Linked DNA regions of Danio rerio. The main gene of each other region encodes a partner of the protein of the gene in region 4 in a complex. Links are inferred from orthologs where the notes say so. Each region holds a gene or a part of one and is shown on either strand. Other genes may lie near its edges.

Evidence for each region.
Region 1: chtopa (region 4) and thoc2 share a complex: the UniProt entries of both Homo sapiens proteins name them as parts of the transcription/export (TREX) complex. The link is inferred for Danio rerio from reciprocal best matches to the Homo sapiens genes CHTOP and THOC2.
Region 2: chtopa (region 4) and thoc7 share a complex: the UniProt entries of both Homo sapiens proteins name them as parts of the transcription/export (TREX) complex. The link is inferred for Danio rerio from reciprocal best matches to the Homo sapiens genes CHTOP and THOC7.
Region 3: chtopa (region 4) and thoc3 share a complex: the UniProt entries of both Homo sapiens proteins name them as parts of the transcription/export (TREX) complex. The link is inferred for Danio rerio from reciprocal best matches to the Homo sapiens genes CHTOP and THOC3.

What each region holds. Positions count from the first base shown.
Region 1 is NC_133189.1:13,022,130-13,025,697, reverse strand, and holds part of thoc2 (THO complex subunit 2), read right to left. Parts: intron 3,098-3,568; coding exon 2,966-3,097; intron 1,731-2,965; coding exon 1,546-1,730; intron 1-1,545. UniProt on the Homo sapiens protein: Component of the THO subcomplex of the TREX complex which is thought to couple mRNA transcription, processing and nuclear export, and which specifically associates with spliced mRNA and not with unspliced pre-mRNA.
Region 2 is NC_133186.1:21,694,235-21,698,304, reverse strand, and holds the start of thoc7 (THO complex subunit 7 homolog), read right to left. Parts: upstream 2,810-4,070; 5' UTR 2,779-2,809; coding exon 2,760-2,778; intron 2,143-2,759; coding exon 2,022-2,142; intron 1,889-2,021; coding exon 1,761-1,888; intron 1-1,760. UniProt on the Homo sapiens protein: Component of the THO subcomplex of the TREX complex which is thought to couple mRNA transcription, processing and nuclear export, and which specifically associates with spliced mRNA and not with unspliced pre-mRNA.
Region 3 is NC_133189.1:29,777,548-29,781,706, forward strand, and holds the start of thoc3 (THO complex subunit 3), read left to right. Parts: upstream 1-1,309; 5' UTR 1,310-1,321; coding exon 1,322-1,501; intron 1,502-3,563; coding exon 3,564-3,720; intron 3,721-4,036; coding exon 4,037-4,159. UniProt on the Homo sapiens protein: Component of the THO subcomplex of the TREX complex which is thought to couple mRNA transcription, processing and nuclear export, and which specifically associates with spliced mRNA and not with unspliced pre-mRNA.
Region 4 is NC_133194.1:26,306,919-26,310,980, forward strand, and holds the end of chtopa (chromatin target of PRMT1a), read right to left. Parts: intron 2,649-4,062; coding exon 2,514-2,648; intron 1,367-2,513; coding exon 1,167-1,366; 3' UTR 531-1,166; downstream 1-530. UniProt on the Homo sapiens protein: Plays an important role in the ligand-dependent activation of estrogen receptor target genes. May play a role in the silencing of fetal globin genes.

The DNA.
Region 1 (3,568 bases), on a different chromosome or scaffold from region 4:
TGTCAAATATTTCCTGGGCATCTGTAACAAGTCAGTGATTCTTTCAGATCGTGTCTTTGACTATTCACACTGCGTGACTATCTGTTGCATGAACAAGCACCTATTTGCCTCCAATTAATAAAAATTATTTGCCTCCTGTTGGTTAATGAAAAAGCAGAGCTAAAGCATGCAGTGTGGACTACGCATAAATTGCTGTATTTTAAAAAGTTTTTGGATTTTCACACAAGGATTTTTCTCTTTTTGATTGGGTCTATAAAGAAAAACAAAGAATATGGCCAATAAGTTCAATAAGATAAGGTGCAATGATAAATCCTAGTGGGGTAGGAACAAAACACATACAGGAACAGAGGATTGTTAAAAAAATAAAATAAGTAAACAACAAATAAGGTAAACATTTTAGTTTAGGTACCCATTTTTACTATTAACTTCTGGCTTATAAGATAATAGCTTTTTAGTACTTAATGCAATCCCTAATCCTACAAATTCCTAAAACTCAAATAATACTTTACTATTACTGAGCAACAAATTAGTACTTTAACTGAGTTACATGCCTTAATGGTTTGTTAATAGCAGGAATTGTACCTTAAAATAAAGTGACCAAAACAAGATCTTCATTTAGAAGGTACATCTAATCATCTTAGGTCTACAACGTCAACTTTAAGCCACAAGAACTGTTCAAACCAAGTGATAAATAAAAAAATAAAAAAATAAAATAAAAACTGATGTGACTCCTAAGGAATATTAACTCTGTAAACTTGCATTCTGGATTCGGACAGAAATAACAACAGCTTTAAAATCACCAACAACCCCTGTAAATGGTGAAAACCCCCTATGTCACCGCTGAGAAATGATTAGCATCTGAATATTATTTCAGTCTAACTGTGGTCCTATGTGGTCCTAATGGAATGACTGCATTTTGCCCACAAAACTTTCAGCACATTAAAATGAAAATGTTTGGGAAAACGAAAATAAGCCAATATCAACTTTAGCAAATTTGGGGATAATCTAACAAAAAGGACTGAACATTCAAAATAGCTGAGAAACTTTGAAACACCAATTTAATTGTATAAAACTATTATTAGAGCTGAAAATTATGATTATAATTTTTGCGAATCAATGGCATTGTTATTTTCGGTGTTGCAGGCTGAAATATTTGGGAACCCCTGAACTAGATGACTTCAAATTTTTAGAAAAAAGCCACCCTTAAAACTTCCAAAAAAATAAATACAATTAAAACATGAAAAACTACCACCATCTCTAGATCAGGGATGGGCAAAGCCAGTCCTGGATGGCCGAGCTCCTGCAAGGTTTAGCTCCAATCCTAATCAAACACACCTGCCTATGATTTACCAGCGATCTTGAATACATTGATCAGCTTGTTCAGGTGTGTTTGATTAGTGTTGGACATCATTCTGCAGGACACAACCCTCCAGGCCTAACTTCACACATCCCTGATCTAACATCCTAAATCCCAGTGAACACTCTAAACCAGTTTGGTGAAAACACTTCTAAGTGCTGAGGCCAGATGGCGCTCGGCTCAGTTACCCCATGGCTAATGCATAGAGATCAGGCCTCTTCTCCTTCTCTTCCTGGCAGATCTTGTGAACGCGACACTCCAAAGCCTGGCCTAGGTTCAGCACCTTGGGGTACCAGGGTAGGATCTTGGTAAGCACGATCAGAATGTTGCGAATGTGGGTGTACTCACCCGTTTCTAGACAGTGAACAGATGCCTGAGGGAAAAATCAGAAGTTTAAGGATGAACAAATCAATTCAAATTATTTTATAGGCAGGCTGTAAAACATCATTACAAGAGCACAAGGCATGCTCCGTGATTACTTTATAATCTAAATAAATCTATGTTTGTCATACTGATACATGCAAGACATCATTCAAAACTGTAAAGGGTTTAAATTTATTTCTGTATGATATACTCTGCCAAAAACAGAACAATGTGCCTTTGTAAATGAATCCAGTACTATATTTTTATGTTATTATTAAACTTTTTTTCACAAAGATAGGCTACACGTGCATGCTACTGTTGTTAATACTGTCATTTGATGCTAAACAATTTAATTTCAACTTTTGAGTCAAAAATAAAACATAACAAAAAATATAAATGTAAAATGTAATGTAAAACAAAGTTCTCAAACTGTAACCTGTGGCCTTCAGTTGCTCATGCATTTGTGTGTGTATATCTGATGGCCATATAGCCAACAAGTGCTCAGATCATATATATATTTTTTTTTGATGGAGAGAGAAAAAAAAATTTGGTTTCAATAACCAGATGCATTTAGACCTGTCCAGTATCGTCTGAAATGCATCCCAGAGCACCTTTTGAAGTGGTCTGAGCAATTGGATTAATATCCATCTCCAATGCATTTCAGAGGGCATTTACGCCTGCCCATATATTGACTGAATAGCTATCTGATTAGAAAAAAATATACATGAAGTGACTGGGTGTCAACAGCCTCTTTGTTCAGGAAAAAACATTTTTGATTGGAGAGATCCACCTGGCCATGATTTAAGCATATTCAAATATGCTGTCTAGAGTCTCATCTGGTTTTTGCTAAAAAATGATTTATGGGGAACTGGAATCTTATCTTACTTCCTAAACGATACAGTTTTTAAAAAATGAGATCTTGTTTGTCTTGCCAAGAGTTGTCTGTAGACACTTTGAGTACAATTTATACATAAGCATCATGAGTAGATGCTACAGTAAGAGGTCTTAGTAAATGCCTCACTTAGCTTTAATTAGGTGCATAGGAAAAAACCTAGCACACAAGCTAAAGCTAGGCTGAATAAATTTAGTTCTTTTTAATTTAGTTAAAATGTTCCTTTAACAAAAATTCCTATTATGTGAAGCTAAGAAAAGTGGGTTCTTGCACAATACAACAAGCCTCTGGTGTGAAAGTAACAAAACAATTTTGTTATATGAGTAATAAAAATCGTATAGTAAAATACTCACTTTAGTCAACTTGTAATGCCATTTGTGGACAACATGTCGAAAATTCTCATAGTCCAATTGATCTGCTTTGTTCCCTCCGTCGAAACCACTGGCTCGGAAAATAGTCAGGAACCCTGGGTAATTACCACATTCCTAGCAAAAGAACCAATAACAAATTAAAACTAGACAAACATAATACAGTATATAATATATATATATATATATATATATATATATATATATATATATATAAAACATTAACGTATGTATTAGGGATGTAACGGTATTGTAAATACCGTCATACCGCAATATTAATTTTTTTCGATATTACCGAAGTCGCATGACTCGGTAAAACTATAGGTCTCCTGAGAAAATTTGCTCAGGCGAATGAAGCGAACGGGACGTAGCTGAAACTTCATTTCCCATCAGCCCCGGCGTGGCCATAATCCTTTGCGGTCTGTTGTCGCTACAGATCCAGTAATGCGGAAATGGAGTGTGCTGCTAGTAGCGGAGATGAAAAAAAGATGGAAATGATCGAACCTAAAGCGGGTGTTGTCGCCGCGCGCGTGCTGAATAGCGGTGCTGTCGCGCGCGTTCTGATCAGCTGTGTTGTGGCGCGCGTTC
Region 2 (4,070 bases), on a different chromosome or scaffold from region 4:
AAAAAAAATACAAAAAAATAATAACTATAAAAATACAGAACACTCAGCAAAATAATGCCAAATTCAAACTGCATGATTTTAGCCCTGATTTTTGACTCGACAACAGGTTTCAAGAAATTGCAAAAAATGCCTGAAATCACAGGCAAATAGGTACTCATTCACGCAAGTATCAACCACACAGTATGAACTATCAAAGACACAATCGGAGAGAATCGGTGATGTGTCGTAGACACATGTGAGATATTCAGTGTGCTAAACAGCTGGATCTGTCGACGATTCAAATCATGCCGTGTGAAATCTGCAGGCCAGCGGGAGGTTGGGGAACAAGTTAAAAGTGCTTCTATTTTGTCTATTTGGACCCCAAAAAATGGAGGAACAACTAGTGTAAATTTGGCAGGAGCACCCGTTTCTGTTTGAAGTGTCATCTGAGCAACCGGGTCGAAAAAGAAAAAGTTGAGGAGAAATTGCTAATTCCTATTAAAGGCCAAGTGAGCAAAATAAGTAAATTTTCTACCCCACTAAAGGCTTTATTCTCATTATATAGTTCATGACAAAAGATATACTACATTATTTCCATGTCACTTCTTCTGTGCTTGGTTTTGAGATGTAGTTTGTAGACCGGGACAAAGTTGTCGCCAATTCTTCCTATTCTAAATCATACAGTGTGAACCCCCCGTTGCCAATCCATCTTGCAGGGTAAACAAAGCAGCGATGAAATACTACCCCCGACAGTCATACAGGGTGAAAACATCTGTGACATGACTACTTTGAAAATCATGCAGTCTGAACTCGCCATAAAAATCACTGATAAAAGGCAGATTGAAAAGTTCTGATTGAAAATCAGAATACAAAACAAAATACTGCACTTTTGAATCCAACTTGATTCGTGAACAAGCTGAATTTTATCAGTTAGCCAGTTAAATCAATTCACAAATTGCACTGAACAATTAATTTGCGAATTGGATAGACATGTTTACGAGTCAACAAATAACTGATTTGAATGATGTTTTCAGTCTGAGTATCTCCCTTGAATGATTCACTGATTCAAATTATTTGATCAAAGAGAGTCTACGATAAACAATTCACAGATTTAACACACTGATCTGAATTTGGTGTAGTTTTGTAGCCACCAGAGCAGAAATGAAGGCTGCAGCACTCTGTATCATTTTCTATTATGCAAGGTTATTTTGCGATATTAGAAATAATTGAAAAAGCTTACACAAACACCCACCCTTTTATCCTGTAGGCATGGGATGATAACCGTTTTCAAGGTATACTGCGCATTGGAAAAGTAAAGTCCTAAATTTCTGCTTTACTCTTGCTACGGTATAAATAGAGTTCAGAACAACAGTATCTCCAGCAGAAAAGATATCCAAAGAGGTTGTTTTAAATTGGAAAGAAATCAATGATTCATTTTGAATTATTTAGCCTGGCATATTCACTGCTCCAAAATACTTTAAATCTTTATCAAAGTAAAATATAGTGTTCAAAGTTTTTGTTTTTACCCAGACATTTAAAAAGAATATAATTCAGAGCAGTAATCACAATACCATGTGTCCGTGATATTTTTATCCAAGGTTATAATATTGTCAGAAACATATACCGGCCCATGCCTAATATCCTGCCCTCAAAGTAATATTTAATATAGTCAAAAGATGTAGATTAAAACAATGAGTGCAAACAGGAATGTGTCTCCCTTGTCAGCATATAATCCAATCAACCCAAAAGAAAAAAGCAGGGAAGTCAACAAGAAGTCTTACCAATATCGGTATAGATTCCTTCATAATTCTCCATTTCTTTCAGGTTCATGTTGTACACAAGCAAGGTTTTCCCCATGGAGAATTCACACTGAGCCAAGGACATCATCATTCTTTGATACTGAGACATCCTGCAGACACATATGAATGATAAAGTAATTACACCCAAGGTCGTGGTAACTAATCAGTGGAATATTTTAAAGGAAAAGAAAAAAAAAATCTTATCAAGTCAGGTATATAAAGTTAAACCAGAATGTAAATTACCCCTCCTCTGGTGAGAAACTGGAGTGGCACCATTTGGTGAAGCTCTTCATGAGCACATTAATGCGTCTGTCATCTCCAGCTCCATCTCCATCGATCAGAAGACGCTTCCGAATAACCTCATCTGTGAGGGAGGAGACATAGATATTATTTAGTCTAAATATAGGTCTAAATAGCATAGCACAGATATTATACTGTAAATTGTATTCAGTGACTAAATGTGGAACAATATATATATATATATATATATATATATATATATATATATATATATATATATATATATATATATATATATATATATTCTGCTTGATTATTTTTGAAACAAAGTAAATCTCTAAATTCAGCAAAAAATCAGTTTATTTTCCAACCTTGATGCTTGATTTAACTGATTGATCCAACATTGAAAAGTGTCAGAAGGGTGCCATCAAATTTTCATATTATCGTATTTACATATTATACTTACCAATATATTTTATATCACTGTAATGCCTATCCAAAACCAAAGTCAGCGTAATAAATTATACTTATACATCTTGTAACTTGTTTTAGTTAATCAGTTTTAGCATGTGGCTAACTAACTGTTAGCTAAGACTCCTCATGTAGACATTTCAAAGGAGTTCGTTTAGTTTCCAGGAAATAAAAACATGGACGTACGCTACTGTAATAATTCCTTCAGATTTGCTACATAAATTACAATTACATGATAGTTAAGAAAAATAAAACAAAGGAAAATCTTACCATCAGTAATGCTACCCATTCTCCAGCAGGCTAACTGGACTGTTAGAAAAAACTTTATTGTCAGGCGCGCGCGGACACGCAAGGCATCAGCGCCCCGCCTCTGTTGCGAAGCAAACCCGCCGAGCTCACAACAGTTTTCTGAACGGCTAGCTTTTACTTTATTATTACAAAGTCATTTAAATGTTTTGCTGAAAACTCGTTTTAGACTAGTCGACTGATAGCGTGTCTTTCAGAAATACTGTATTAGTAGGTAGTTAGTTTAGTTTTTGACAGTATTGAGAAATGAGATTCATTTTCGCGAATCGGTTCATTTGAACAGTTCGTTTTAAAGTGTGGTTCCACAAGACTCGTCAATTTGTTTGAGCAATATCGTCAGTTCAGTTATGAATCATGATTTAGCTTTTTAAAAATACATTAGGAATCTGAAAAAGTTTTAAGTTAAAAACTATTGTCTAGTGTCATTTATTAGGCAAATAACAATCTAGCCAGCACATTCAATTTCTTCAGTCAGAATTTGGCCATTTCAATAATAAAAAATAATAATAATAAAAGCTTTACAATTTTCTAGCCTTACATGTTAAAAAGTGCATTTGAAAATTAAGGATAACAATAGCCTAATTAGTATTCAAATCAATTTTACTATAGGCCACCCTTTTTATTGCTCATTTTTAGTTTCAAGATAAGTTCCAAGATTTAGAACAAAAGTTACTTGTAAAACGTTTTCTCTGTTTACAAACAGTAGCGAAAGATGACGTCACTTATGTCAGATTGTGTGATTTCCTACACAGCTAGATGTTGATCATCAAAAACATTTGTTAGCATTGACCAAGACTGATTTGCTGAAGTCACACCGAAGCAACAGCCAACAGAGGATTATGCCTTTTTAATTGGTTATTTTTACTATTTATGATGGCATGTAGCAGTCAAAATACGACATATGAGCTCATGAATGGGAAAAATTCTGCACATTTGTCAGTAAGGGTTTTTTTTTCTGAACCCCCTCTGGCTACATAGGCTACATATAACATAGTATATTATGAAATAATAAGACGTTTTAAAATCCATCTTTCTTTTGCTTCGTCAGTTCAGTTTGTGCCATTATGATTCAGTTTATGAATACAAAGCTTTTTACGTAGATATGAAAATAATTCAACATGAATTAAAATGTGAATTTAAATATTTTAAATTTGCTTGACTGAGAATGAGGTAAAGTTGATTTTAGGACATCTTGGACATTCTCCATAATAATTTTATTATTATATAATAATTATATTTCAGAAAGGAATTATTTGCAAAAAAATTCTATGTAAT
Region 3 (4,159 bases), on a different chromosome or scaffold from region 4:
CATGGACTCTGCCCGCGAACTGATGTCCTCTTTACCAAAAACACTGATGACAAAACTACTTACACAAAGTACACAGAAAATAAACTTTATTTTTATATGTAGCTACTCCTGACTTTCTAAAGTTCCTACAACCATCCAAAGTAGCCTACCACAGTGACCTGACTTTGAGTTCTTCCATTACACGAGAAGACAATTTAACAAACAACATAAAACACAGTAGGCCACTGACTGAAGTTTAAATGATCTGATTTATAAATGAGGCTTTTGGCTTAAATTATATATAGCTCATATTCCATGATTTTGACATTTGACAGTTTTGACATTTTTATTTATCTCAATGTTTTCAAAGCTTTTTGCCTATAGCCTAGCCTAGTTTACTTAGATTTGGTAGACCTATGATTGTACTTCACACTTATATGAACTTTTGGCATAATACAAACCTTTTGTTTCATTTTTATGAGATATAATATAATTTTGACCTTCTCTTAATTGACCATTATTTGATTTAGGATTTTCATCTCACAATGTTTACCCCATCATTTCAACTTATTTATCACATTCATAACAAATTAGCACATTTTCATATTTTGTCATTTTTTTAACCTAATAGCAATTTTTACAAAAAAAAATAATAAAATTTCTTCACTGTTAACTGTTTATCTCATAATGTTTACTTTTGTGATTTTTTTTTCATTTTATATCATCATTTTAAATTTAAGATTTGTATCCCTAGTGAAACTGCTGATCATATATTTGTTTTTTATTTGCCCTCATGCACAATGCTTTTGGATTGAACTTTTTTTTGGTTATTCATTGCAAAATACTAATTCGTGTTATCTTTTAAGGATATCCTGTTGGGTTTTTTCAATATTCCCGATAATAAAAGTAAGGAGTGTTTCATAATTAATCTCCTTTTAATCCTTGCTAAATTCCATATACACAGCTGTAAATTCTCTCACTCTAGGCTATATTTTGTTTTAATATTTTTGAAAAGGAACTTCAACAGTACATTAAAACTATTGCTTCCTTAAAACACATGATTTTATAATATGTGTTGTTTGTTTTTTAGTAAATTTTTTCCCTTGTATGTGCTTATTTGATGTTTTACTTCTCTGTAAAACTCATGTGCTCTCTTTGTAACAAATGTATGATGATGTTATTGTTACCCTGACAATAATAAAACTAAAAAAAGAAAAGAAAGTTATTTGTATCAGACTTTTTTAAACAATATTATGTAATTGCACTCCCGTACACTAGGTGTCGGTAAGTAACGCAATGCCACAGATTAAGCTTAAATACGCGACGAAGCAGAACTTCAAGCATGGCGTCCTCGTACTATCAGGAGATGCAGGAGGTGTTCAGGAATAACAATAAAAGCAGAGAGTTCCCGGCTCACAGTGCTAAAGTGCACTCGGTGGCCTGGAGCTGTGATGGAAAACGACTGGCGTCCGGTTCGTTTGACAAAACTGCCAGCGTATTTGTCCTGGAAAAAGACCGACTGGTGAGCTTTGTCTTCTCCATCATCCTTCGTTGTCCAAAACATATATTTAATTTATAAACCACGTTCTGCGTAGAACAAGCTGTTTAACATTTAATCTGTAAACTAAACTAGTATCAGTTTTATGCTACTAACGTTAATACCTATTTTTAGATATGTGTGTCTTTTTCATTAAGTACTGATACGTATTCAGTACACTTGTTGATATTTAGCCAACAGTTATTATTTAGCTACTACTACAAGTTAGTTTTCATTAGATGAATTTTAGATTCATTTTAGACAATAAATTAGACACTCGTAGCTATTAAATAGGTACTACTCATTAATTAGACACGTATGAATAGTATATTTTTGTTTAAATACTATTTACTCATCATCACACACTTGTTCTCATTTATTTCATACTAGTATTTATTTCAAAAGTGTCAAGTAACTACTTCTATCGCAGTCTGTTATTGGAATGTGAGGTTTTTAATAATTGTCTAGTACATATTTTTACTATGACTAGTTATTCTGCAAGTACTGATATTTGGGTGGATTTTATTGGAAATAAGGGCTTTTTCAATATGTACTAGTGTATAATTGTTAGACACACAAAGTGATCACGCTCTACAATAAGGTTCCATTGATAATGTTAACTAATTTACCAGCATAACCTAATAATAAACAAAACTTGTACAGCACTTCCATTCAGGCATTGGACAATAACCGTTTTCAAGGTATACCACGGTTAGGAAAAGTCAAGGTTTTAAAACCTCCAACATTTTCTTCTATACCATTCCTATGGTATATGTACGATTTTTTTTAATTTATGGTTTTTGTTGTTGTTGTTTTAGGACAACAGTGTGTCCAGCAGAAAAGATATGCAAACTTGTTTTACATGTTTACTGTTTTAAAATATTTAAAGTCTTTCTCAAAATAAAATATATTGTGTTCAAAGGGGGAAAAAGTTTTTAGTCTTTTACCCTGACATTTAAAAATAATATATTTTAGAACAGTAATCACAATACCGTCAAACCGGGATATTTTTGTCCAAGGTTATCTTACTGTCAGAATCTTATACCTACAATCCCATGCCTACAAAAATCTAAAACAGCTCTCATCTCCTGATGCAAAACAGCGCTCATCTCCTGATGCAAAACAGCACTTGTTAACATTAGTAAATGCACTGTGAGTTGGCAAGAACCAACAATGAGGCTTATTTTCAGTAAAAAACATTAACAAAGATGTATAAATACTGTTTGTTGTTTTTCATTATAGTAACCTCATTATCTAATGAAACCTTATTGTAAAGTTGTACTGTCATATCTAATAAATGCTTTGTTTTTATTTAGAAAGCAGTATTTACTTATTAGATACTCCATCATTTATTAGAAACTCATTCTTATTACAAGTACCTCTTTAACAGATGCTAGTAGTTATTTATTGTATCCTAGTACTCATTTATTTGGCACAAGTATTTTTATGTAGTTGTTATGAGTTGCTACTAGTATTACGAGTCACTACTGATTTTTATTTTTTATTTTTACTTGTCACATTTTGACTATTTTGGATGACTGTATAAGTGTTCAATTAAACATGTGCTAGTTAAATAAAGATATAATAAACATGAGTAGATGGCGTTGTATGTACTAGTATCTTTTCAGTATGTACTTAATGAATAAGAACTAGTTTCTAATGATAATCGGTAGCTAATGAATTACTACCAGTTTATAAACATTGTCACAATCGGAATACATTGTGAAAACTGACATCTTGTGACAATTGTGACATCTCAATGACAGACCTGTACAGAAGTCAATGGCAAATACCTAATCAAGTTACTAATTAATTTAATGTCTGCAAAATTACTTATCATTTCATTGACATTATGCATATTAATTATGTTTTAGCTGCAATAACAAGCTTTTATAGGTCATCCATTTGCCAAAAACATTACTATACTTATTCTATATCAGAAAAAACGGTTAATATTCACAGCATTGGCTACAATGCGGTTTATTATTTTACAATTTATTTGTCTTGACTAGATGTGATCTAGCTCATGTATTATCATATGTATTAGGTGAAGGAAAACAACTACCGTGGGCATGGAGACAGTGTGGATCAGCTGTGCTGGCATCCCACCAACCCTGATCTGTTCGTTACTGCATCAGGAGACAAGACCATCCGCATCTGGGATGTGCGGACCACCAAATGCATGGCCACAGTCAGCACAAAAGGTGAAGCTCTAAAGCTTAAAGTGATAGTTTACACAAAAATGAATACTCTCTCATCATTTACCCACCATTGAACACAAAATATAACATTTTAAAGAACATTGGAAATCGTTACTTATTGACTACCGTAGTATTTGTTTTTCATTTTATGGATGGCAATTTCCAACATTTTTCTAAACATCTTCTGTTGTTTTTAACAGACAAAATAAACTCAACTTTAGAAACTCTTGAGGATTGAGCTATGGCTTTCAATGTTATATGTTTTATTCTTGTGAGATTATATTATTTATTGGTTTATTGATTGTCTGACTATGTTTAGGGGAGAATATCAACATTTGCTGGAGTCCTGATGGTCAGACCATCGCTGTAGGTAACAAGGATGATGTTGTAACGTTCATTGATGCCAAAACACACCGTCCACGTGCTGAGGAGCAGTTCAAGT
Region 4 (4,062 bases):
TACCCAAGTTTACGCATCTATCTACCTATTGAGAGAAATGCAGCATGCACAATTTAAACATTCAAATGATTTTTTTTATTACCAAATAAGCAGAAACAAAAGTTATACATTTTTTAATAAGCATACATAAACCACTTTTGTATCTACTTTTTAGACTAAAATTAAAACATGTTGGAGAAGAGAAAAAAAGAAGAAAAAAAGTGAATACCACATGATCATTCATGTTAATGATGTCTAGAAAGAGGGCATCACAGTGGCACAGTAGGTAGCACAATCACTTCACAGCAAGGTCCCTGTTTCAAGCTTCAGCTGAGTCAGTTGGCATTTTTGTGTGGCGTTTGCATGTTCTCCCCATGTTCACATGGGTTTCCTCCGGGTGCTCTCGTTTGCCCCAGAAGTCCAAAGACATGCGGTACAGGTGAATTGGGTAAGCTAAATTGGCCGCAGAGTATGCGTGTATATGTATGGATGGATGTTTCCCGGTGATGAAAATGAATGTCTAGAATGATAATGTCCTCCAGAGCACAAGATCTTATTAGCCAAGATTTATTCGATGCCAAAAGAAAAAAGAAAAAAAAGTTTGTGGGTTACAATATAGTTAAAACATTTTTTGACAAAAACAAGACTGTATGTAATGAATAAAAGTTCTACCTTAAAAAATACTAAATAAAAATATAATAATAAAAAGGTAAGTGACGTGTAGAACATTACAGTCATTAACATCTGTTCATTTACACAAGCCACATTTTTACCACAGAGTCATCAAATGTCATTTGGAGTTCACTGTTCACACATTTAGGCCATTTTCAGAATTTCAGCCAAAAATAGCAGAGGTACAATCTCTTATTACAGTTCAATCAACAACAAAATTCCTTCACTTAACAGCCAACATTTTTCCTAACAGGCCCTCTGTTTTAGAACTATAACTTGTGATGAGGATTTGTGATTGTATTCAGAAGCCGCGAGTGAAAACTCTCAAATCTCTGAATGTAACTGGGATAAATTCATAACTTTGTACAAACTTCAAGTCTGAACGCCTTAAAATGTAAATGTCTTAGGGAGTGTCCAACAGCAGCGGAAGCTTAAACGGTACTGGATGATTATGTCATCGATCAGTCTATTATTTGCAGATCTTTGGGAGCTGCTGTGTCTCAGCTCAACAGGGTCTACTCCATACTCTCAGGATCTGCCTGGGCCATATACGCATCCAACTCTGCATCCAGATGGCCTTTGGTTTTAGACATGTACGCATCAAGCTGGTTGTCCAACTGCTCGCGTGTGACGATGGGACGACCTGCTCCTCTGCCTCTGCCACGTCCACGACCCCTTCCAGCAAACCCTCCACGGCCTCTCATACCTCCACGGCCTAAGAGAGAACGAAATGCTTTAGTATGGTGAGATGGAAAATGCTTTTTGTATGGGTTTCACTGATTAGAGCAAAACTGAAAACACTACTAGCAGGGTTCTTACACCTTTTCCAACTTCAAATTCCAGCACTTTTCAAGCACTTTCAAGGTGCATTTGCATGCTTTTCCAGCACCTAATAGTAATAATTAATTGCACTTATACATGTTGTATGTACTTTTTCACATTTAAATACATTGTGCTACTTTAAAAACCACACGATATGACATTTCAACTTAAATTGAGTACTTTAGAGCATAGATTTATTGGGATAGTTCACCCAAAAGTGATTAAAAAATAAATAAAAAAATGTTCAGTTATTGGGTGAAGTATGTTTTTAAGTTTGGCCTCTTTCTACCTAAAGTTGATATCTTAAGAAATGAGCTTACAGTCAGATTTTGTTTGGGTGTAGTACCAAACTTTCAGGACCAGTCACTATTTTTTTTTTTTACAGTCTTTGGTTTTGCATTTCAGGTGCAAAAGATGCATTCTGGATGAATGTCTCCAAAATACGTATGAAGCTAATAGTGCCAAAACTATCCGAATTTGAATTGTTAATTTGAATTCCTAAAAACGTAAAACTTTATTTTTACATACCCAATATCTGCAGTCTTATTTTTACATACCCAATATCTGCATGAATTCAGAACCCAAAAAAAATCTGAAGTTTAAAAATGTCTATAAAAATCTGACTTCAAATATTAAGTTTTCAGATGTTCAATAATCAAGTTAAGAAATACAAATTCAAAACTTTTTTTAATAGGACATTCAGATTCAGAATGTTTTGGCTTATTATTAGCTCCATAAATACGCGCATGCGGTGAACATTTTGCAATGAAAACTGGTCGCACGACAACAATTTATGCACTAGCACACATGCTTCCAAATATATTTCGAGGTCACATAGATAAAATCGTGCGCATATGCAACCAAAACGGTCACAATTTTGAGCCCTTTAAGTTCAAATTCAAGCAGGTTCAAGCACTTTGTTCAAAACACAAGCACTTTTCTAACCTTAAAAACACTATATTAAAAATCAAGCATTTTCCAGGATTTCCAGCACCCGTAAGAACCCTGTACTTGGCAGAATTGTGCTTAATATTTCTCACCTCTTCCTCCAGGCATTCCACGTGCTGCACCTCGACCTCCTAGAGCTCCTCGTCCTGGAGCTCCTCCCCGATGACGCATCCCTCGGCGGAAACCCATGCGTCCAGGACCACCTCTACCTCTCATCTGACCTGCACCTAGGAAAAAAAAAAAAAAAGAGCAATCTTTTCACAAGAAGAAAAGAAAAAACACTTGTGGGATGCATGCAATAGTTCTCTTTAAGCAGGTCTGATCATATATATATATATATATATATATATATATATATATATATATATATATATATATATATATATATATATATATATATATATATATATAGAGAGAGAGAGAGAGAGAGAGAGAGAGAGAGAGAGAGAGAGAGAGAGAGAGAGAGAGAGAGAGAGAGAGAGAGAGAGAGAGAGAGAGAGAGAGAGAGAGAGAGAGAGAGAGAGAGAGATTTTGCTGCTCTGCCAGTTAAAGCACATTTGCGAACGTTCAATGACAATCTCAGTCAATTGTAATCATTTGTTATGATTCAATTTGAAATATCCACAACCATCATAGAGCCCCAGGGATTGGAGAAAGTGTGGGTTGATCTCACCCTGGTCCAAGAGCTATAACAGGGTATATGCAAGAATCCTAAAAGGTAATTTCAATACCTTTTTAAAACGGTTTAAAAGACCTTCTCGGAATATTTTAAGACCTCATCACTACTGCAAGTGCTAATCAGTATCAAACCTTTAACTTAAAGTTGCAGTAGGTGATCTTCTACAATGCTAACAGCTTAGCATAAATCTCTGAATCACAGTGCCTCCCCTGCCGTCTAAGAGCTACGCCTCCTGAAACACGAGCACCGCAAAAGAACCCTCTCTCATGTGTTAAAAACAACTAGTGCTTGTCCGGCGGCGTGCAAGCCAAACTGACATGCGATTTTAGAGGGAATATTTAGAGTTGCATGGTAAACAATATAGGGAGAGACTAGGCGTTTAGCTGTATTTACTTGTGTTTAGTTGTTAAACTAAATAAAATGTACATCATCGATGCTGTAAAAGGTCTCTTATGAAACTGAAAATAGTCTCATCAGTCCTTCATCGAAATATTTTAGTAGCTGAACAACATTTCTGTTAAGATTTAACCCATTTGTAACAACGTTACATCAGCTTTGCGTGAAGTTAAAACAGTTTTAAAACAGAACATTACTTGTCTAAGAGAAATCTTTCAGACATGTTGTCATCCTTTCTCCAGCATGCAAAGGTAACTCCAATACTGATTCAGGTTTTTAAAAAGTTTTGATTCAGCATGTTTTTACCGATCTCAGTCGGCGGAGATGCGTACAAACAGCTGCGCAGTTGTTCAAATCTGCATTTGCTTGCAAAGAGATTGTGCTACTTATCGGAATTGAGAGATGTCGGTCGGACTCCATTTAATAGGATGAACATTTTTTTGTTTTATGCCTTACCCAAAATATAAAAATACATATAAATACATTTAGATCATTTACTGTAATCATTACTATTAGACTGTGAAGAGACTTTGAACCAGCACAACAAAAAATGCTTCTGAAGACAA